Caenorhabditis elegans: one gene and its partner. The protein of the gene in region 2 interacts with the protein of the main gene of each other region in a pairwise test. Each region holds a gene or a part of one and is shown on either strand. Other genes may lie near its edges. The genes, in order: wdr-37 and pacs-1.

Region 1 (10,565 bases), on a different chromosome or scaffold from region 2:
TTGTGCCAGAAAATGTATATCTGCTCGATTATTTTCTGCAGAATTATAATATCTGAATGATTTCCTGATGAGATTGTCTGCCCATCAAATCAGCGCCCTCAATTTTCCCCCGATGCAAAAAAAAAAACACAACAAGACCACTCCCAATTGGACGGAAAGATATCTGCGTCTCCGACCGATCCATTGCATCTCTTGTCCACCGGTTGACTGGCCTTGACCACGTTCGCACACTTATTGTCAGCCTCACCCGAGGCTATCCGCTTACTGAACCCCACTTTACGCGAAACTTTCTGTATATAGGTGACTGGCGTTAAATAATAATAGCATCGTTCCATTTTACAGCTAATTTCTTACCTGAAAGTTTTCGAATCTTGAAAAAAAAACTAACTGTCATTTCAAGTAGTAATTAGTAATTCTTTATTTCAATAAAAATCAGCGAAAATGATCCAAAGTCTAGAATTTTAACAGGAAACAGTAAAATTGTAGAATACTGAATTCCCACTTCTCCTCGAGAAGTACACGAGCTGCGTAAATCGACACATGGTCGTGTTATTGGTTCACGAGTGTGCGCCTTTAAAAAGTACTGTAGTTTCACCTTTGTTTTTTCAACTTTTGTTGCTGTCAGTTTTTCACGATTTTTCGATGAAAACATACTTCCTGATTGATCAACTTAAATTTAAATTAAAAAAAAAACTTCCCGAAAAACCATTAAAATTAAATGAAAATTCCGGAACAACAAAAGTTTGAAACTACAGTACTCTTTAAAGGAGCACACCTTCTCGTATTTAGCACAAATTTGTCGTGTCGAGAACATTTATCGAATTATTGGTCCAAAAATTGTCTGGATATTATGTGAAAGCCCGTGATTGAATTTTTTCTAGTCCAAAAAACATTTCAATTTGTTTTTTTTCAATTTTCACTTTGACGATCACAAGTTTCATTTCTTTCTCTTCTCTTGCGATGAATTAATAAAATATCATGTGACTATATTTCAATTCTTTTTCCAAGTACATTCTTTCAGAATTTCTCAAAATTTTCACCCCAACAAGATGACATATCTGCGTCTCTCCTATGTACCACTTCTAAGTTTATACTTACTCAAAGTCTATTTACATTCGGACCCACCAAAAGAACCTTTTCCTTTATAAATTGTTTATTCTAATAATGGACTCTCTTTAATACATCTATCCGATCCCTCTTCCAACTGACTCATTGAATCATCCGGTTTCCGACAATTTATCCGTCTATTTCTCCTCCAATTCATGATCATTTCCATTGCTGACTCATCGTTTTATCAATTCTTCTTCTTTTCTTTATGTTTACACAGTTTGCTTTTCTGCTCTTTTCCTCCCCATTTCTTCGCCGAAATCTTGAGACTTTTTGAACCATTTTTTTAAACGAAAAATGTTCTAAACTTTTTCTATATCAGATGGCAAAAGACATTTACAAGACCTTCAAACGATCGGTCTCCGGAATTGTCGGTGGAAATAATATTAATGGAGAAGGATCTTCAAGCCCGTCGACGAGTGCACCACAAGTAAAATATCGTGGTGGGACCGGAAGAACGTGGATTCATCCGCCAGGTTTTTTAAATTTTTACTTTGAAAAAATTGAAAAAAATTGTTTGAACAATTTGTTTCATCTTTTTATTGAAAATATGTTGTTTATTAAAAATATGCCGTAATACAACACATTTTTCAAAAAAAAATTCCTGATGAAATTTTTATAAACATTTTTTTACGAATTCCCAAAACAAATTTTAACGCCTTTTTTGTAACTTTTTGTAAAGTCGCTTTAGAAATTTGTAAAATTTCATAAAATTTTTGTTTAAAAATAAATGTCTTTGCTTTTCCAAAAAATAATTTTTCGAATTATCTTGAACATTAAAAAATCTTCATTCGACAATTATTCTTTTCTTTAATTTTCAGATTATCTTATCAATGGCCATGTGGAATATGTTGCACGGTTCCTTGGATGCGTCGAAACTCCAAAAGCAAATGGAAGTGACGTGGCAAGAGAAGCGATCCACGCGATTCGATTTCAACGCGATCTGAAACGATCTGAACAAACGCGGGAGACGGCGAAACTGCAAAAAGTGGAAATTCGCATCTCGATCGACAATGTGATCATTGCGGATATTAAGACAAAAGCGCCAATGTACACTTTTCCATTGGGAAGAATATCGTTTTGTGCTGATGATAAAGATGTAAGAGATTTTGAGTTGAAGCTAGAAAAATTAATTTAAAATACTCGAAATACTTTGAGAAATAAACATTAATTTTTCGATTTTCCTACAGTAAAATAACTTTGATTGACACTTTCGATCATACAATTTCGGAAAAAACCCCAACAACGAAATTTCAGGACAAGCGAATGTTCTCATTTATTGCTCGCGCCGAGGGTGCTAGTGGGAAGCCGTCTTGTTACGCGTTCACATCAGAAAAGCTAGCTGAAGATATCACTCTAACTATCGGAGAGGCTTTTGATCTCGCCTACAAGAGATTCCTTGATAAAAATCGAACGTCTTTGGAGAATCAGAAGCAAATATACATTTTGAAGAAAAAGATTGTGGAGCTTGAAACCGAGAATCAAGTGCTCATTGAGCGATTAGCAGAAGCTCTACGGGCTAATAGTAAAGCTGATTATGAGAACACGGTAGTTTTTTAAAATTACAAAACAAATTATTAATATATAACATTTTCAGGGTCCCCCAATCTATCCAGGATTAGGTCCTCCAGCACTTCCACTTTCTCCGATGCCTCAAGGACCTCCACCAAACATTCCTCCATCCTCAATATATTCCATGCCACGTGCCAACGATCTTCCACCAACTGAAATGGCTCCAACTCTCCCTCAGATTTCTACATCATCAAATGGAGCATCACCATCCGTGAGCCCGGCATCCACATCACCATCTGGACCAGCTCCATCAATTCCTCCACCGAGACCTCCTGCACTGGCTCCTCCGCCACCAGTTGCTCCACGCAGAAACCCCGTTGTTTCACCGAAAAACTCCACGGCGGGATTGTTGGATGGATTGGAGTTGGGGTCAGCTGAGCCGGCAAAAAAAGCTCCTAGTAATATTTTCGATGATTCGTTTGATCCCAGAGCTGGAGAAAAAAAGAGCACTGCAGCTGAGTATAGTGAGTTTTCAACAATAAAAAGATCTTTTCAAAAAAGTAATATTTTCTAGATCCATTCGGTGCGGACTTCCTCAGTGGCATTCAAAATGGTAAAGAAGCACCACCATCAGCCTCCGCTGAACTTCTCGCTTCTGAAGCAATCGCTCGTCTTCCAAAGCCAGAATCCTCATCTGTACCACCCAAAAAGACCGCTGCAGAGTATGATGCAATGATCAATGAAGTGGAGAAGAAGCTTGCCGCGATGAGTAGTGGATCATTTGAGTTCGGGCAGCTTCAAACCGGGGACCTTGGCGGAATCGAAGGCGAAAGCGATTATGGAACACCATCGGATCGTTTGAATCCGAAAATGATGAATTTGAAGCAATAAGTTTATTTCCTTTTTTTTAAATTTTCCAATTTTCTACGTTTCACGGTGATTTTTTTCCATTGCATTCTTGTACTATTCTTGTATCATTCTTTTACTAGCAGGGTTTGGCCGAACGGCTTGCCAAATTTATTAGCTGAATGTATTTATTTGCACGCTATCATTTTTAAAAATTACTTACTTACTTACATGTGAAAAATAAACTGGAATGTCTCATGGCTAAAATGTCACAAAGCTTTTCTGGCAACAAATAGAAAAAGTTTAAATATTATGAAGTTGTTGTATTGACTTTCCACGCAGCGACCATTCTATCGAAACCAGCGGTGAGCAGATTGTTGGCAGGATGCTCGTCGAGCCATGCACAGCACGTCACCATTCGTTCGTGACATCGGCGGTTCGGCATACGTGGCAGGCGATTTCCATTGAGATCATAGATCCTGACGTGACGATTATCCATTGGGATGGCGATGACCGGATGTGACTTGCTGATCGCCACACGATTCGCCGGTGATGAGAGCCGAATCGTGGCCAGCGGGGTTCGCATGTTTCGAAGATCCCAGATTTTTACAGTAGCATCGTCACTGGACGACACGATTCGATAGTCCGTGTTAAAGCTGACCGAAGTCACTGAATCCTGGTGTCCCTGGAACACTGCGACCGACTGTATGGCTTCTCGGAAATCCCAGAGGCGGAAGGTGGAGTCTTTGGATGAGGTGAGCACGAGCTTTTGATTGGAGTGAGTGCTACAGTGATTAAGCTCACTTTCATGACCTGCAAATTATTCATTTTTGAAATTTAAAGTCGTTTTGTGACACCCTACCACTTAAAATATTCACAACTTCTCCTTTCTCAACATCCCAAACATTTGCCGTTCGATCCCAGGAAGCAGTGACCATCTGCTGTCCTCCAGCAAGCCATTCACAACAGCTAACAGGAGCTCGATGTCCGGTAAGCCGCATAACAGGGACACGGATCCGATGACCGTCGGATTTTTCGCTGGACGAGGTGAAGCGATTGTGTTCGACGACGCCGAGCAAGTTGTTCGGATCTCGGTGGTGCTCCTCTTCTTCCTCGGAACTGTGATCGGATGGAGCTGAAAATAGTTATAGCTATAGGGAAGTTTATTATTCCGAAGAAGTCCATTTTGTGGGCGGGGCTTACCATGTCCCGCCCATTTTCTAGGTGTTTTTTTTTCAAAAATACAAGAATTTAAAAAATATTTCAATAAATTTCGGTGAAATTTCAAAATCTTATTGAAAAAACTGTGTTTCAAGTTTTTTTAATCCGAAAATTTCGCCTTCTGGCAACTATAATTTTTGTAAAATCGTTTTTAAAGTTTTCAATAGTCTTCAAACTATTGAAAACTTTTTTGTTTATTTTTTTTAGAAACTGTCTGCTTTTTTGGCAAACCAGCGATTTTAGGCGACTTTCAGCGCTAAACTTTGCAATTTTTAAGAATTTTTTGAAAATTTACCATTATTACTGGGAACCTTCCAAATATGCGTTGACTCATCACCACTCGCTGTCGCCAGCAACAGTCCTGACGCTGGTCCGGATCCTTCAGTACTATCCACAGCACAATTATTGGAGATTGCCACACAATTGACACTTCCAGTGTGTCCAGTATATGTTGCCAGACAGGCTCCACTTTCCAATGACCAGATACGGGCGGTTTGATCTGCACTCGCACTTGCACAAATATTTCTTGTCGAATCAGCTGCCACATGCCATACACCATCTTTATGTCCTTCTAGAAGTCGACTCAATCGGAATTTTGATCCATCACGGAATACTGGAGGTCCTCGAAGAGCTGTTCGCAACTTTTGACCCATTTGAATTGCTTTTCGACTTGATTTTCCAGATTCTTGAACTCCAAAAACCTCCTGCGCCACAACATTCGCTGCTTCACCTTCAGTTTGTGTCAATTGAACAATTCGAGCACGTACTGAAACTTGATATATTGAGGTTTTGATTGGCTGCAAATCATAAACTAACGAGCACAATTCTCGGCATACAATGTGTCAAACTCCTTTTCAATGTGCCCAAAGAGCTGATAGAGACGGGCTCGATACGGAGCATCGTCAACGTCCAATGAGCTCTGAAGAACTGTGAGTGCTCCGCTGATCTCTGTATCGACAGTACCACGTCGTGAACGCATCACCTTCTCTTTTTCGGCATCTTTTGAATTCTCCGATTGTGGCATTGACCCACTGCAAAATTAATAATATTTATAACATGCAAAACTTATTGGCAAATTTGTTTCATCCTTTTTCAAACTTGCTCTCATAAATTCCAAAATTTTCCTGATAATTAGGTTTCTTTCATTCTGTTAAATTTAGTTTTTATTGAAAAAAGATTCACTGCCAGCCCGTTTTTAATTTAAAAATGATTTTTTGTTGGGTTTTAGGTTTAAAAGCCATTATTTTGAGGCAGATTCAAAAAAAATCTATATATTAATTCTGAAAAATTCAAATTAGAAGAAAATAAATATTCACAAGGACGACAAATCCATATTTAAAAAGGTTTCAATTCCTGTTAAAATTAAAAATGTTATTGATTTCATCTGAAAATTATGACAAATGACAATATTCGAAAAAAATAAAATAAATATTTTTGAGAGAAAAGGAGAAAAGAGAAAAAAGAATACGTTATGTTCACTGATATGATTGATTTCGGGAGAAGGATGGATTTTTTTCAGAAAAAAAGAAAAAAACAAATTAAATATTACAGAAGCATTGTACGTCAAATTAATGTCTAAATCTCTTCAGGAACTTCGTGATTCGGATCAATTTCCACGTGTGACTCTACCTCCAGCATCTCATCGTGTTTAAGCATATTTCGGGCTGTGCCTAAGCCAAATCTTGCGTCGAGTATAATTTTTTGCATGTTGAATTTCATCACGGATTTCTGAAAATAGATTTTTTTAATATTTCGAAAGTTAAATATTGATGTTGAAGTTTGCCTGGTGATTTTTCAATGGGAACTTCAATGATTTTTAGGCTGATTTATTACAAATATTGAACATAATTTGATTTTTTTTGTTTTAGCTCATTTTTTAAAACAATTTTTCCTGTGTAACTCAAGACTTGAATCCAGGATTATTTCAAGTTTGCTTGTATTTTTTTCTTTTTGGAAAATTTCACTTTTTTCTGAGAAATTCGATTTTTGTCCACAATTTTCAATGTTTTTTCTCAAAATTTAAATTTTGTAAGCAAATGACATTTCTTCCTATAAAAAATTTTTTATATCCAAATTCGAATTTTTGTATAAAACTCCAATTTATTAATGAAAAATCGAATTTTTAAAACTCTTCCGCGTAAATTTTGTTAAAAACCAAAAATTACCTCATCATCAGATAACCTGTTCAAGACACTATTGATATGTTGTTGAAATGCGAGATCTTCATCATATTGTATCGCCATTTCATCAGAAGGTCCTCCAACCACCACTTGCTGCTCAATATCATCTCCAACACCCCCATCATCTGAAAATTCATTCAATATTCATATTTTTCCAGCGAAAAATTACCAATATCTTGATGATGATAATGATCCATTGAAGTTGATGGCATATCCATTTCATGATTTTGTGAACTTGATTGTTGAGATTCCAGAAGCATTCCAGAACCTATTTTACACTCTCCATCAGCTTCTAAAATAATCTCATCGTCGGCAATTGGGACTCCATCGGTTAGAATTTCTTTGGGTAGACACGGGGCATTTGATGAGGTTGATACACCGACCATTTCACTATTTCGATGACCCACTTCCAAGTGTATTTTCTTTTTTGGTGGTTCCGATGGCATATTTGAACTGAAATGTTTTATTAAGTGAAGTTTAAGAAGTAAAAAAAAAACTCACGAATCTATAAGTTCTGGCATCGAATCATAAACCAGGGAGTTTGTTCGGTGAGGCTGAAAATTTAATTCTTATTTAAATAAATTATTTTTTCCTACCATATGTACCAATCTTCTAGATGAAGCCACTGTAACTGCAGGTTGCGGCGTTGCACTTCTATGCGCGGAGACCATTTTGTAAATTTTCGTATTCGATTGAGCATAGGAGGGTGATGGTTCCACCTCCACCAATACACCTTGTCGTCCAAACGGATTAACTTCCTTTTTGACTTCATTCATTTGATGTTGTTGGTCTGGATTATTCTTCTGTGGCATACGATGCTGTTGCTGGAATGAAAAAAAATCAAAAAATTGTTATCGGACTACGAGCTCATCAACTACAACACGGCGAATGAGCAGATACTGCAGATATTGGTATTGCTTCATTAGTCGCGCACACAATGCAAGTTACAAAGTGTAATGCACCATGAAGCGGGGTCGAACTTGTGGACTGTTGCTTTGCAGACGAGAGTGTTAGCCAGTAGGCCACCCGTGCATCACCGCAAGCGAGGCCGGTAAGGGGTTTTTGAATGCTTGCCTTTGCTATTACCCAGACGTGAAATTTGCGATTTTTGCGCCAAACATACGGTACCAGGTCTCGACATGACTAATTTTTGTTAAATACAATAAAGTGTGCGTCTTTAAAGAGTACTGTAATTTCAAATTTTTGTTGAAAAGCTATGAAAATCGATGAAAATTCCGTAGCAACAAAAGTTTGGAATTACAGTATTCCTTAAAGGCGCGCATCTTGTCGTATTTAACAAAAATTGTTGTGACGAGACCGGTTATCTCATAGTCAGCAAAAATCGGAAAAATTAGGGTCTGAGTAGTAATTACTTCATCGTTTTTGCACTTACCACTATCCGCTTCGGCGATAATGGATAAGTTCGAACAATTGCCTCTGTTTCTCTTGATTGTGGTGATTTTCGACGGGAATATGAAGATGTGGGAATTTGTTGATGTGGCCTAACATGAGGCTGAATAACCACATAATCGAACTTCATGGATTCAGAATTTCCGAGACTTTGTCCGGGTTCTAATACATCTTCTGCCAGCGGAACGTCATTATAGAAATCCTTATCCAGTCCGGAGGACATTGCGGTGAGCTGTGAAGGAGGTCGAGAGTCTGCTGAAAATATAAATGATTTTGGTGTATTTCTTTGCAAGAAACTCTTACATTTCTTCTTAAAAATCAATGAATCTGTCCATCGCATTGCCTCAATTAGTCCATCGGACATATCAATCGATTTTCTAGCATATTGATCGAGAAGATCCGACCAGACTTCCTGAACAAGAGTGATGTCCTGCCAAACTATATCAGCACGTATCCGATCCCATGCTTCTCGTTTCTGAACCTTCAACTGAGCATCCGGCGTGGCGGCTTGCATCTCCTCATCGTAGAGAATCGGATTTTCTCGAACCATATTGATTAGTTGAAGCTGAAAATTTGAAAATTTTGAATTTTAAACGTTTTCCAGCTTACAAGTGTGTATTGCGTAGTTTTTACGGGTGGATCTTCCCTGGAAAATTGTTGTTGGAGGTCTCCAGCACCACCGTGGGAGCTTGAGGCGACACCTGGAAAAATTATTGGAAATTCTGAATCTATGAATATCGATTTACTTGTCATTGAATGCTTGAGACCGGCGATTTGATAATCCTCTGTTCCGTGCCGCCGTCGGTCGCTCATTGGAAATTTTTAATAATAATTCTGAAATTTATTTTCTTCTCAAATTCTCGCAAGTTTCTCAAGCATTTCTAGCTGCGTTGCGTGGCGATTCCTTCCCGAATTCGAGTTTCATATCAATCTACGATCCATTGAACCCAATAACCCGATTGGCAAGAAGATGATCGTACACACTCATTCACATAGGTGATAGACGTGCTACAGACCGTGGGAGACTCGAACGGGTAGTAGGGCGGAGCCGGGAACCGCGACGCAACCGAAACGCTTCAGAAACCGCAACGGAACAGGCATGCGAAGCGGTCAAGATTCGAAAAAGAAAACGGAGCGAACAGGCAGAAAAACATCGATAGATAGGCGCGCGTGGCCGAGAAGGAGGCGAGACGAGACATCTAGGCCATCGATGGTTTCTCTGCGTCTCTCAAGTGAGTAAATAAATGGTTTTGAGAGGGTAAAATGAAGAAAAAGGATTGATCGAAATTTAAAAACTTAGTCTAGGAAAGGAAAACAAAGCAGGGGAAATCTGAAACAAAACATATAAAAACACACATTTTAACTATTTTTCAGAGTTAAACAAATATAATCTAACAAGAATTCAACTTCAAAGTGAAGATTTCCAGAAACGAAAATGGTTATGTGATTTAAAAATGTGATTTGTTCAAGGAATTACAAGAAAACTCTGGTTTAACATTTGAAGAAAATCCATATTGCGAAAAATGAATTTTAAAAGAATTATTGACGGTTTTGAAATGTGAAATTTTCAATAAATTTCGAAAAATAGATAACTTTTTTTAAATAAAGAAAAACAACGAAAAAATATTTCAGTGGTTACGGTAAACAAGCATAAGAGTGTTTGCGTACTGCGGACCAAAATCTTCGCGAGACCTCGGGTACTGTAGAAAATTTAGGTATTTTTAAAACTTTATTTTTCTATTAATTTCCCTTCTTTCTCATTGGGATTTTCTAGTTTTCTGGTAAATAAAAACAGTTTAAATTTAAATTTAAAAATTTTATCTCCATATTTTTTGTTTCCAGGATGTCTTCTGAACCCATTGTTGCCAATCTAGACAATTCCATGACGACAGAGCCTGCACCCGCAGCTTTTCCACCAATATCCCCAATGTCATTTGCTTTTATGAATGAAGAAGAACGAGCAGCGGTCAAGTTTCCAAAAGTTGATCCAAAACCGCAAACTGCTAAAGATGATGAACCTTCCACATCCCAGAAAACGTTGAGCGTCGATGATCTTCTGATAGTCGACGACGACGACGAAACTGATTCACCACCGGCATCTTCTAGTAATTATGAACCTAAAGCTCATATTGGATGGGCTTCATTCGGAGATTCCTGTCTCCCACCTCCACCAAAGCCAGTTAAAAAAGCTACGGATCCAAATTTGCCACGAAGAAGTTTGTTTGCAAATGGTCCTCTGTTAAATAAAAATATTGTTTTCAGAAGTCTACGTCATTCGTTCTCAGAATA
Region 2 (12,077 bases):
GTTCTTGATTGTATAAATCTTCATCTTCGCCTCCAATAATCATATCTTCGAGAATTCCATATTTGAGTACAATAACAGCTTTCATACACGGAACGAATTCTTTTTCACTATTTGGGCGCCGAGCACAGTAGTGAACCTGAATTAAAGCCATTTTACATTGGGAAACGGGAGTTGGTTTCGGGAATAAAGATTTTTGAAAAAGGTTTATATTTTTCTAAATTAGACTGGAAGAAAAACTCACTTCAATGAGACTTTTTGAATTCCTAAAACATGGATGACTGATTCTTTTGAATCTCCATGTCAAATCACCCCTCGTTTTATTCATAACAGCATCCATTGCTAAGAAAACTCCTTTATTCGCATCTTCAACGTGTTTCGAGAATTTCAAAGGTGGTGGGACAGATAATCTTGAGACTCTCGGAGCATGAACAGCGTTTTGACGAAATGTTTCTGACACAGCGATAATGTTTTTCTGAAATTAGAATGTAACGAATTCAGAGTATTTCCAAATATTACCTCAATAACTGTCCTCTCGTCCATTGCCTCTTGTAATTTGTAGAATAATTGATAAGCACTTTCATCTTTCTGTCTGAGATCCTGAAATTAAATATTTAAAGTTCCAAGTTGGCAAACGGTTTTTTTAAATAATTTATTCTCATTTAAAATGATGTCTTCGCAGAAAGAGTTAAAAATGAAAGAAAACAGTCTCCGTATAGTGAATATATTTGTTAAACAAATTATAGAATTTTTCTAAATTGTTGTAGAATTTGAAACATCGTTTGTCACATTTTCAGGGACTTTTCCACAATAAACGTTAAATTATCTATCTTTATACCAAAATTAGAGATTCAACAAATTTCTTGTTTTCTCAAGTTTTCCTTACTGTAAAATGTCTGAAAATTTGACAAAAATGTTTCAAATCACATCTTTAAAAAAAACGAATAAAAAACTAATCAATATATCCGGAAAATGCAAAAAAATCTGCTTTAAGTTATTCCGCTGAATTCTAAAATTCATCAGCTTATTTCAATTTTTTCGTTGAAAAAAAATTAGAACTTAACAATGTTATATTACTACATTGAGACTGTTTTTTTTTCCGTCACTTGTGTTAGGACAAAAAAAAAAGCTTAAAAAACTATAAATTATGACTTTTGAACTAAGAATCTTAATCATTAATCATTAAACTAAATTAATCAAAAACTCACTTGTATTGATGATTCAACAGCTTTATATAGAGGCCTTTTGTCAAATACAGCATTATATCGACATTTGAGTGCTGCTGCTCTATTCAATTCATAATACATATTTCCCATTTCTGATAATGCTTCTCTTGCTCTTGATAAATCTTCCATTGTCGAATGCTCTTTCATCGATTCGTCTAATGCTTTTTTCGACTTTTGACGCATTTTCTCCAATTTACTCTTCATCACTTCTGCCCATTGATTTAACGCAATTACGTGCTTCTCCGTTGTATTTGATGGAAGTGTTAAAATCGGTCGTCCAGCTGCCGGATTCCCTGCAGTTGAAGGTCGGTTAGCAGTGTTTCCAGATTGAAGAACAGGCATCGATTGAGAGTGAGGAATATTACCCGAAGAGATACGTGCTCCCGATGGTCCTGAAGCATTTGCAGATGTGGTCGGTTGCTGATTGGATTGCATGGCTGCCGGACGAAGTGGTCTCAAAATCCGGGCTCGACCGTCTATCTAAAAAATTTTCCGATTTATATTAATTAGTGCTGAATGAAATTGACAATTTTTTTCAAAATAAAGAAAACGGTGTATTATCTAAATTTTGAGATTGTGATTGAAATTAAAAGATAAATCAACACAATAAATAAAAAAGTTTAACTGAATTTTAATTGTTTTAAATAAAATTATGAAAAGAAAAAACAATAATATTTAATTTAAATGATCTATCTAACTGAAAACTAAATAGAAAAATGTTATCGATCAAATAGAAATATACATTAACTGTGAAAACACCATTTTCTGCAATAGGCAATATACGGTGTCTGCGTCTCTCACTTCTTCATTGCTGGTATACACTTTTCCAACGCTTCCCTACAACTGCATTAGTCTTGTTTTCAATAGAGCGCGTTTGATGAACTACTTCAGAGTGAGGGGATCGCAAATGACTTAATTTTGGTATAAACAAAATTCCAATGTTTATAAAAGCGATAAACAGCACGTGCCAAGATTTAAATAGTTACTTGAACTAATTTAGAATATCTTGTTTTTTTTTTTCAATTTTCAATCGAAATGAGGTAAATTAGTATAAAGAAAAATTGCTAAGAAGCACTAATCGAGATTTTTACAAAAAATCGATATGAATTAATTTGAAAATCTTGAAGCATGTTTTATTTTTGAAAAAAAATCTGCGCATTTCTCAAAGTTGTTTCAATGTTTGTGGAAAAAAGGGATCTTCAAGTTTTAGATGTAAAAACAAATCTTTTTTCTCACTTGGGTATAAACTTTTTTGTGGTTTTTAGTAAATTTCTACTAGCATCGTAACTTTAAACAATTCTATCACAAATTGTACTAGTTTTTAATTGTATTTTTTCCGACACTTTTCACAAATAGTGTTATTAAAGGGATCAACGTTTCCTATAATATAAAGTTTTAATTTATTTTTAGCAGCTAAATTTTGTCATTTATTATTATTATTTAAGTTGATTTTAAGAAAAAAATGACATTGACACAAACTTACTTTGCTAACAAGGGGCGGCCTTCGTCCAAAAGGAGTATCTGGGAATCTTCCATTTGCAGCCTGAACATTTTGAAAAATAAGGATTTTGAATCTGCGTGTTTCGAGTAATTTTTTCAAGCTAAACATATGCCGCAGTTTCCCCTGCCGAAAAAGATAATTGAGATCAAAATTTGTTTCAATATTCAGCTACCGTGGGGGCCAGTGAATTGTTAATTTTTTTTAATTATAAAAAAATTAAATGACAAAAACTATACCGTATTTCCGAACGAATTTTCGCTTTTTATCCGGATTGTATTGTCTCCCATTATCTGAACTCGCCAATTTTTTAAAACAATTTTTTTTTCAACAAAATAATGACTTGGCCCGGGGGAACAAAAAAAAACAACACTGAAACATATATTTTTTAATTATATAAAATTAATCAAAAGCTTTTATTTAAAAATCGAATGAACGATGAGTTGAAATTCGGAATGTAAAAACATAAAAAATAAAGCGTTTGTTGGTGCGATGCACATGTTTCAAGGTGAAAAATTGGCGGAAAAGCATATTTCAAGGGCATCATCGGACAAGAAAACGAGAGAAAACGGAACCGTGTGGGGGAAGGTGTACAAATATTTTAACATAGAGAATAGCAACAAAAAAGAAATAGATTAATATTCGACACTTTGGGAACACTTACATATTATACAGGCAAATCAATAGAAGCGAGATTGAGGTGTAAATTATGAAACAGAGATGATAAAAAGAAATTGGAAGACATGAGTAGATACACTCAAAATGTAAACGATCAAGCTGTGCAGACATTCGGAGTGAAGAAAGCAATTGGGAAGGATTTGATATGCGTCTGCCATTGTGGAGATGTTTGAAAGTATCTGATGCCATTGTAAGCATTTCCATCGATGATAACTGAAAATAAATCTGCTTATTTTACAGCTCAAAACAAAAAAAAACGAACCAGTCAATTCATTGTGCTTTCCGGTAGCACTGCAAAGCATTCTTCCAATAGAAGATACTTGAGATGGAGCAGCTCCTTCCTCTGGTTTCTGCTTTTGTCCTTTCTTCATTCCCAGTTTTTGTAGCATTTTGTCTTTCCTTTTTTCTTTTAAATAGGTAAGACTCAATGAACCAGAACTTGGAGATCTCGACACAAGCAGTGTTTTGAAATGAGCTTTAATTGTGACCTTGGCTGTATCTTTTTTAGAATTCGGAGTTGTATTCGAAGATGATGGAGGGAAATCAGAGCCGTACGAGTATTGTGATGATTGCGGAACGGGATTATTCGGCCAGAAATCCATATTAAGTTCTTGGCCATCGACGTTTCGAAGTTGTGGAGAATGAGGTGGAGACGATCCATCAGTTTTCGATATAACCGACTCTTCTCGTGGAGAAATTACAGTTTGTGCGAATCCATTGAGTCCATTTGAGTCATCATCATTTTCAATTTCACACTGTTGACTTCCGACACGAACTTCACTGAGGAAAGGTAAAAACACACGTCCACCTTCAGGATCGCGATCAGCAGTCAATTGAAGCATAGCTTCGCCTATTGGCATATTCATCTTTGACGAGCTGACACTATTTGGCCAAGCAGCAATTTTATTAGCCAATGAAGTTTTTTCTGGCAATGTCATGTCTCCAAAACGATCCCAGAGATCTCTGCATAAATTGTCGAGTTGTGGATCGATCCCTGGAAATAACAAGCAATATATTAGAATAAAAGAAAATTTGAAAATACCTTCGATCATCTTATAAAATAGAGAGCTCGTCGACGGGATGGCCACGAATCGGAGATGATTGACGAGATTGGCGAGCGATTTATGGGCCAGACACTCCACATAAGCTTTAACGACTTGTGAGAAGAGTTTGTCAGTTCCGATGATTCCAACGATTGTCAACGGAGGATTTGATGAGTTGGAGTGGCAGCTGGAATTATAAGCTCATATTATAGAATGAAATGAGAAAGAAACACTCACAAATTTTGAATACGATTTATAACATGGCTCAGCGTCTGTCTAACTTGCGAAAATGAAGGGCAGTTTACAATAGGTACTGGACCACCCAGTATCGAATATGCAGGCCATTCTGATAAATTACACAACCAAACAGCATCACTTCCTTCAGGAGACATGCTCGATCCAAGAATGGAGCATAATTGTTCTGACAAGCTCACTCCTCGATGAACTCCGTGATCATTTTTTATTGAATTGAGAGTCGAGGAATGTGGCATCGAATGTGAATCAAATGATGATGATACAACGCGTATTCCGGCAGAACGCACAGGTGTCTGAAAAATGTTATTAAAAATGAAATCAGTTAAATAACAATTACCTGAACTGAATAGTCTGGATGACCGGAACCAATCGAATCCTTCTGAATTAATCGGTGTCGCGCGACGTTTTCTTTAGTATTATCTCCATCAGAATTCCATCCTCCTTCACCATGATCCCCTTCTCCGTCAGAAACTTCATACATTGCAGCAAGATGATCGTTCTTCTCTTTAGAATCAAAAAATGGTGCAAGCTGAGGCCGACGGTTGCTTCTGATCGATGCGTCATCATTAAACATCTCCGGTCCAGAATCGTATGGTGAATCGATGTCGTCATCTTCCCACGGCATTTCTTTGACCACCGGACGTCGCCCCTAAATTTAAAAATGTTTATTTTTAGACAATTCGTAAATACTTACATCTTCTGGTCGGAACATATTGAACAATTTATTCATCTGATATTTCAAATTTTTTCCTTTTGTTCGTCCCGTCCTTGTTTCAATATCTGTGGATGTTTTATGCCGACCGCTTCGTGCACTTGGCATTTCATTCAGCTCATCACCAACATCATCATAGTCTGTTTCTGTTTCATCTTCAGAATCTTCGACATTCTTTTTCTGTTTGTCACGATCATCAACAATTTCAGGTGCTTGTGAATAACAGGAGGAAAGGAAAATTTTTCCAGCACACGCGCCAACTGAAAAATAAACAACGCTTTTTTTCAATGATTTTTCAAAATAAGACACAAACCTCCTTTCAATTCAACCTCATTTTCAGAAGTTGGGTTCAACTGAATTTCCCGTAAACCACCTTGTTGCATTATCTGTAATTGTTTCAATTGGATAATCCGATTAACCAAAAAAAACTTACGTAAGTGAGATTAATATTCCCGACAGCGAGATCACGAAGACCTCCAGGAAGACGATTTTTAAACTTTTTCCTTCGTTGAATCAATATTTGAAGCACATTTGATTTTCTTTTCAAAAAATGTGGATATTGGATGCAGAATGAGATATCACAATCCAAATCGATTCGACCGTGATTCGGCGTCACCTTTATCTCGTTGCTCCGCAAATATCTATTTCGTTTGGAGAGCTAAAAATTGTTTTTTGTGTAAACTCTTCTCAAAACCTTATTTTTTACCGGAAGTTTTGCCGTTACAATGATGGAATTTACTTCAGGAAATACACAATCCAAGAGAATTCGATTAATTGAAACGTTGAAGATCCTGGAAAATATTACAAATTATGATAATTCCTGATAACTTATGGCAATTTTTACTTTTGGACTACTTGAATGTAGAACTTTGAATCGTCGAATCTTCAAGTATGCGCCACAAATTTTCAGTACCGGTTTTTTGTACAGACTATCTTAAAAACAAGGAACTAAAATCCTTGTTCGTCTGCACACAGAATAACAAAAACCAGTAAAAATTTGATTAATTGTTTTCCTCGTCTAAATTATGAAGTGAACATACCTCGGAACAGTAGACGGTGTAGCTCTATCGACATCCCATGTGGCATACAACCGCATGGCCATTGAACTGCTCTCATGTTGTTTATCCATTCTTGTAGTCTTCCGTAGTTATTCAATGAAGTGTCATCTTCAGAACAGGAAATTTTCTAGATACTGAAAATAAAAAAGGTTTGTGAAAATGAACTCGATGAAAAAGAGAGGAAAAATCAAAAGATAGAAAAATTGAAGCAAAACATGAATCAATGTGGAAATATCATGTTTCTAGTGTACTTTTTGTTTAGAGAACAACCGCCGGTGAAATTGTTGTTGTAGGATCTGAAAACCGTTAAAACTAGTCAGTTTTTCGGTAGAAAAGAGATTATGACACGTTATAGGTGTAAAAACGAATGGCAAAAAGTTGTTCACTATAACCGAAAAAACTGAATGTGAAACATCTAGGAGTACTGAATATGATTGTTCATGAACTTCGCGATGAAAAAATCACGGCGACAGAATATCATGTTTATATGTCAGGATTGCGGAGATTTCCTTCTGTTAATTTCTCCAAATCAAATTTTCTTTCTCAGAGATGAAAGCATTTCAGCATTGAGTAATAAACAAAAAATATTGAACGCGTGGGAGAGAAGGAAAGCTACACATGAATAGGAATTAGGACGAAAATGAAGGCTTATATCCAACAGCTAGAAAGAGCGGCTCTTCGAAATGTATTCTCAAGGGATTGGAACTGATTTTTTGTCAATGAAAAGGGAAACGAGGGTGTTGAGAAACCCTCCATTCAATGTGTCGTCGACAAAAGGTCGCGAAATTAAATTTGTGGTGAAAAGGTGTTCACGATCCCAAGACACTTACGCGCATTGCGTCTATGTCTCTCATTAATAAAAAGATGGAGAAGGTAGCGGAAAAATATAGAACATGGCATGAAATGACACCGAGATAATAGGTCTGGTCAACCGTACTGAATTTGATTCTAAATATCGTGAGAATGTTTAAAATAAATTTAATTGAAACGGAACATCTAGGTACTTCGCACGTTTATAAGAGTCTAACTTTATTATGTTTTCGAGAGATCGAATTTGAGAAATACAGAGTTTAATTGAATGATATTCTCGAAAAATTACGTGCAGATTACGACAACAATAGGCTTTTGCGACTTGTAGAATCATATCCACAGAAAACGCCACAAAGAATCCAATGACCAATATCATATTTCAGGTAGAAGAGAGCGATGGCAGGCGCGAGAGCACGGAAAATACGTGAAAAGAATGTTCCATCAAACGCATCTAGGGAATTCGAACTGACAGGACAACGCATCAATCATCCTCCACGCGAAAGATCGAACTTGCTGATATATCAACCAACTAAATCGTTGAATCTGATTGACTGAGACGTTTGCCGATACCACTCTGTGTGTGCTGGAAAAAAGAGAAGGACCCGGAAATGTGGGGGTTTCCGTTGTCGCCAGAGACACAAAAATCCTTTATATGTAGCAGTGGTGGTAGAAGATCTTTTTTCTTGGATTAAAATTGGATACCTTTCTCTCTTTGCGCAGCACAACGCAATGGTGTTGGTTTTGAGGCTCTTACAGCTTAATTAAAGTTGACAGAATTTCGTTAATTTCTAACTGGAATGAAGATGACGAGAATTAATTTTTCCACTCAAAAAAAGGTGGAAAATAATTTATAATCTAACTGTTATGACGATAGCAACGCTACAAATCAGATAACAAATAGATGCAGCCGCTCCGTCTCGATGGCGACCGATTCGATAACAAAACTAGAAATAGGGAGCAACAGAGACGATAAGAGAACGGAAAAGAGAGAACGAAGCGTTCGATGTTTGCACTCTATGAATAATAAGCTAATTAGAAAACAGCGGGAACGGGAAATGAAGCGATGAAAAGAGACAATTACCTTGAATCTTCATTTCCGGACACAGCTAATTTAGAAATTATACGCGTTTTTAAAAATAAACTATTGTATTGTAGCTGAAGAAGATAGAGCGAAGAAAAATAGAAAATAACATTGAGCTTTTCCCTTTCCACTCATCTAAAGAAATAAATGGGCGATTGTCTTGACAGCTTCAGAGAATGACAAACGACCATCTCGGAGCATGACGATGATGACATAGCATTGACACGATGGGGGACAAGTGAGGGAGGCGCGAAAAAGAGATGCAGTAGAAATGGGACTCGAGAATGCAATGGAAAGAAAGAAAAAGAGACGCAGAATAAGGGCAATGCTCTTTCCGAGACTCTCGGAGACTCGCAACACGGACGCACAATGAATCGTCGAACGGGTCGTCGAGTAGGCGTGCCTCCAGTATTCTCCAATGTGTTTGAGGGATTAGCCGCCGTGCAGTGCCAATGGCAGTTGAGTTTCTCTTCGTTTCTCTGTGTGACCCGCTACATACAACAAAATATCATTAGCTGGATGGTTCCGGACACCGAAACTACTTGCCGTCCCATTTTGCTGCAAATGACACAACGCGAACTTGGGAAAAGATCAGCTGAGTTTTTGAGAGAGTGCTAACATTCAGTCTAGAGAGTGATAACAACAACGAGGACCCAGGATTGCTTTGAGGCTACTAGCCAGCAGAAAAGACGAAAGAGCACGAGGTATATTTTGACTAAATAGTGAAACTTAAAACGATAATTATTTCTTGAGAATAACTAACCAATTTGTGATGGAAAAATAACAAGATAAACTCGGAGAGTACAGAGCGTATTTATATAGAAGCCCACATTATTTATACGTTATGGTTGAATATACAAAATGGCACATATCCGTCGATGTTAGCGTAATAAACTAATTTAGAACGGGAACCGCTGGGGCATGTTTTTTCTCAAGTTTCATCGCTAGTTCCGGCGGTTTTTGGTTGTCGGTGTGCTCGCGATGTCATTTTCGAAGGTCCTCGAGGACACGTGCCATCTATTTATTGCTATTCTCGGATATGGAATAAATTGAAGATAAAATACTAACGCTCATGTTATAAGCCTTTTTTCTACAGGAAATGAAAAAAGGGAAGGAAGTGTACGAATCAAGGATTAAAAATTAATATTATCAAAATATTCCATGCTTTCCACTTGTGGGAATTTTGAGAATTTGTTTTGTTTCCGTTGCGACGGAAACAAGCCGAAAACAGAGTAGTGAAAGAAGCTCTATTTGGGTACTGGGGAGCAGACAAGAGAAGAGTAGGACGAAATGTTTGTTTTCCGTATTTAAAATTGACGATAATTAAAGATTCAGGATGGGAAAAAAGAATGAGCAATTCAGACAACGAGAATCCGGATTCGAATCCCAAATAAAACAAGCGTCAAAAATTCTTCAAGAGTCGCTCTTGCATGTGCGAAATTAATTTTTCTGTTTTTCAAGCAGACAAGGCTTCCGGTTGTAAATTTCTATTCGAATATTGAAGAAAGGGACTAAAGGTCAGGTTTACGGAGCTCGAAAATAAAAAGAAAACAGAAAAGAATGAGGAAAAACGAAGGGAAAAATTCTGAAAATCCTTGAAAAGTTCAAGTCATGAGCGGAGACGCAGAGAAAATTAGTCCAGCAGAGCGCGTTTGGCCGCAGTGGCTACTGCGTGAAAAGGGCGGAAGTTTAAATCGAGAAGGGGAAAACTTGAAAAATGAGAATAACTAGGAAGAAAGTTGGTATATTTAATGAATTATTAGTTAGGAAAAACATAAATGAAATTTATATCAACAGGAAAACAATTTCTGTATTTCTTTTCTATCCTAACCCAATAATTACCAAGTTTTCTTGTTGTTTTACTCTTACATGAAGTACATAGAAAGCAATAAATCCAGTACTTCCAAGGAGTCATATAATTCTTCGAAGGGACACTGCAATAAATATGTACTGAAATGATATCTTTTGTGGCAGAGACGAACTGGAATCTGAAAAAAAAAACATCTAGGGAAGGTTTGCACATGAATCGGAAGTTTCGTTAAGTTTAGAAAAAAGAATACATACATGTCTATAAGTGTTTTTTTATTTAAGCTACTCATAACTTCATCAGCCTTTTCGGCTTCTGCATTTTTGTTGTTTGTCGAGTTTTTCAGAATCTCTAGCAGCTTCTTCGTGTTGCAATGTCATCCATCATTTCCCGAACATTAGTTTTTGCCTCCTTTTGACAAATTCAGACAAGGAAGTTTTCAATTGCGATTTATAAAATCTTTAAAAATCAGAAATGAATTTGACAATAGACTTCAGATTTATTTTGGAAAATATTAAGTTTGTACACATTCATATTGGAGCCTGTTTTTTTCAAAGAAATTAATCTTCCAATTGCAATTCTGATTTGATCGATATGGAATTTATCCCATATCTCAAATTATATCTAACACTAAATGTGAAATATGTCTTTTCTAAACTAAGAACAAACATTACATCAAAAGGAAAACTGAATAAAGAACTTGAAGCTTTTTTTTCCAAGAATATTTGACTACGTAACATGTAGACGATTCGCATTAACCTTGCGTCCATAGATCAGCTAACATTCTATTTTCATTGTTACAGAAAATGGCTGTCTGATGAAGTGGCTTCACTTTCTCAAAATCATTCATTCTCACAGAAGATCAGAACACCTCTTAACATTCCCAAAAGTTCTCGTCATCATCTTCACCATCATCAAACACCGCCCTTCACCTTTCTCTTGCCTCCTAATTCACTCAAACTGATATGTGTTGCGCAATGAATTTCTCCGCGAGGCACTATCTCTTCGATCTCTTTTCAAGTTTGACTGGGCGGGATTAGCTTCTCCCAATGGCTTTTACAATGACACAGGTAATTGTAGAAGTCATCAGTCAGTCACAATTCGGATCACGATGCCGTCGATTCGGTATCGTCTTGTGGCATTGGTAGTGTTCATTTCATCAGTTTATGGACAACAAGGTAAGAATTTTGGAACTTTCAGGAAATCCTCAAAATTTAGTGTGTTGTATTGTACAGTCTAGAATTAAAACATGAATAACATATATAGTTAATATATGGAACGCCAATTTTAGATTTTTAAAAATGGTTTATTGCTACTTTCAAATATCTCGCGACAAAAGTTTCAGAAGCGGCAGTTGTCCAAACCCCACCAGTTCAACCAACACCTAATCTTATTCGTTTTGGATCAGGCGAGCCAGTGCGCGCGATTAGACCAAATCAATTTCAAATTCAACTTCCCGATATCTATGATCCATTGAGAGACGAACGTCCAAAAAGAAATAATCATGCAGGGTACATTCGTCATCCTACATTCCAAGTGCCACAACAACAAGTACAACAGTTCAGACCAGCAGGAAATGTTTATATTGCCCAGGTAACACATACAGATTATTGATATTGGAAATGTCAATTCCTTCAGCCAAATCCAAGAGTCGTCAGTCAATATCCATTCCGGTCAGCTCCGGTGGTTCGTCCGTACGTAATCCCGCAGCAACAATTCCAACGCCAAGGCCAATCACAATATATCCAACAACAGTACAGACCACAACAACAACAATATTCTCAATATCCAAGATTCGACCTCCGCCCCCAACCTGTTCGACCAGTCCGTCCAGTGTACATTGCGGTTGGTAGTTATTTATTTTTATGCACACCTAACAAATGTCGTTCCAGTCAACCCCTGCATCTCGTCT

The links.
Region 1: the proteins of pacs-1 (region 2) and wdr-37 interact in a two-hybrid assay, tested with the Caenorhabditis elegans proteins (one large-scale study listed by BioGRID).

Annotation. Positions count from the first base shown.
Region 1 is NC_003281.10:5,594,342-5,604,906, forward strand, and holds wdr-37 (WD repeat-containing protein 37), read right to left. Parts: upstream 5,718-10,565; 5' UTR 5,711-5,717; coding exon 5,503-5,710; intron 5,459-5,502; coding exon 4,982-5,458; intron 4,601-4,981; coding exon 4,328-4,600; intron 4,279-4,327; coding exon 3,776-4,278; 3' UTR 3,638-3,775; downstream 1-3,637. Other genes in the region: ced-6 (Cell death protein 6), read left to right, coding at 1,430-1,583, 1,929-2,206, 2,365-2,655, 2,705-3,143, 3,194-3,510; madf-11 (MADF domain-containing protein), read right to left, coding at 6,262-6,414, 6,852-6,991, 7,036-7,319, 7,368-7,420, 7,463-7,690, 8,260-8,531, 8,580-8,841, 8,886-8,977 and 1 more; xnd-1 (X chromosome NonDisjunction factor), read left to right, coding at 10,120-10,492, 10,539-10,565.
Region 2 is NC_003283.11:9,210,641-9,222,717, forward strand, and holds pacs-1 (Phosphofurin acidic cluster sorting protein 2), read right to left. Parts: upstream 6,619-12,077; 5' UTR 6,539-6,618; coding exon 6,450-6,538; intron 6,201-6,449; coding exon 6,116-6,200; intron 6,068-6,115; coding exon 5,843-6,067; intron 5,796-5,842; coding exon 5,723-5,795; intron 5,670-5,722; coding exon 5,392-5,669; intron 5,347-5,391; coding exon 5,035-5,346; intron 4,991-5,034; coding exon 4,680-4,990; intron 4,630-4,679; coding exon 4,442-4,629; intron 4,394-4,441; coding exon 3,662-4,393; intron 3,613-3,661; coding exon 3,494-3,612; 3' UTR 3,114-3,493; downstream 1-3,113. Other genes in the region: mdt-27 (MeDiaTor), read right to left, coding at 1-136, 242-472, 517-597, 1,206-1,703, 2,707-2,766, 2,961-3,011; grd-6 (Ground-like domain-containing protein), read left to right, coding at 11,277-11,343, 11,511-11,758, 11,804-12,010, 12,058-12,077.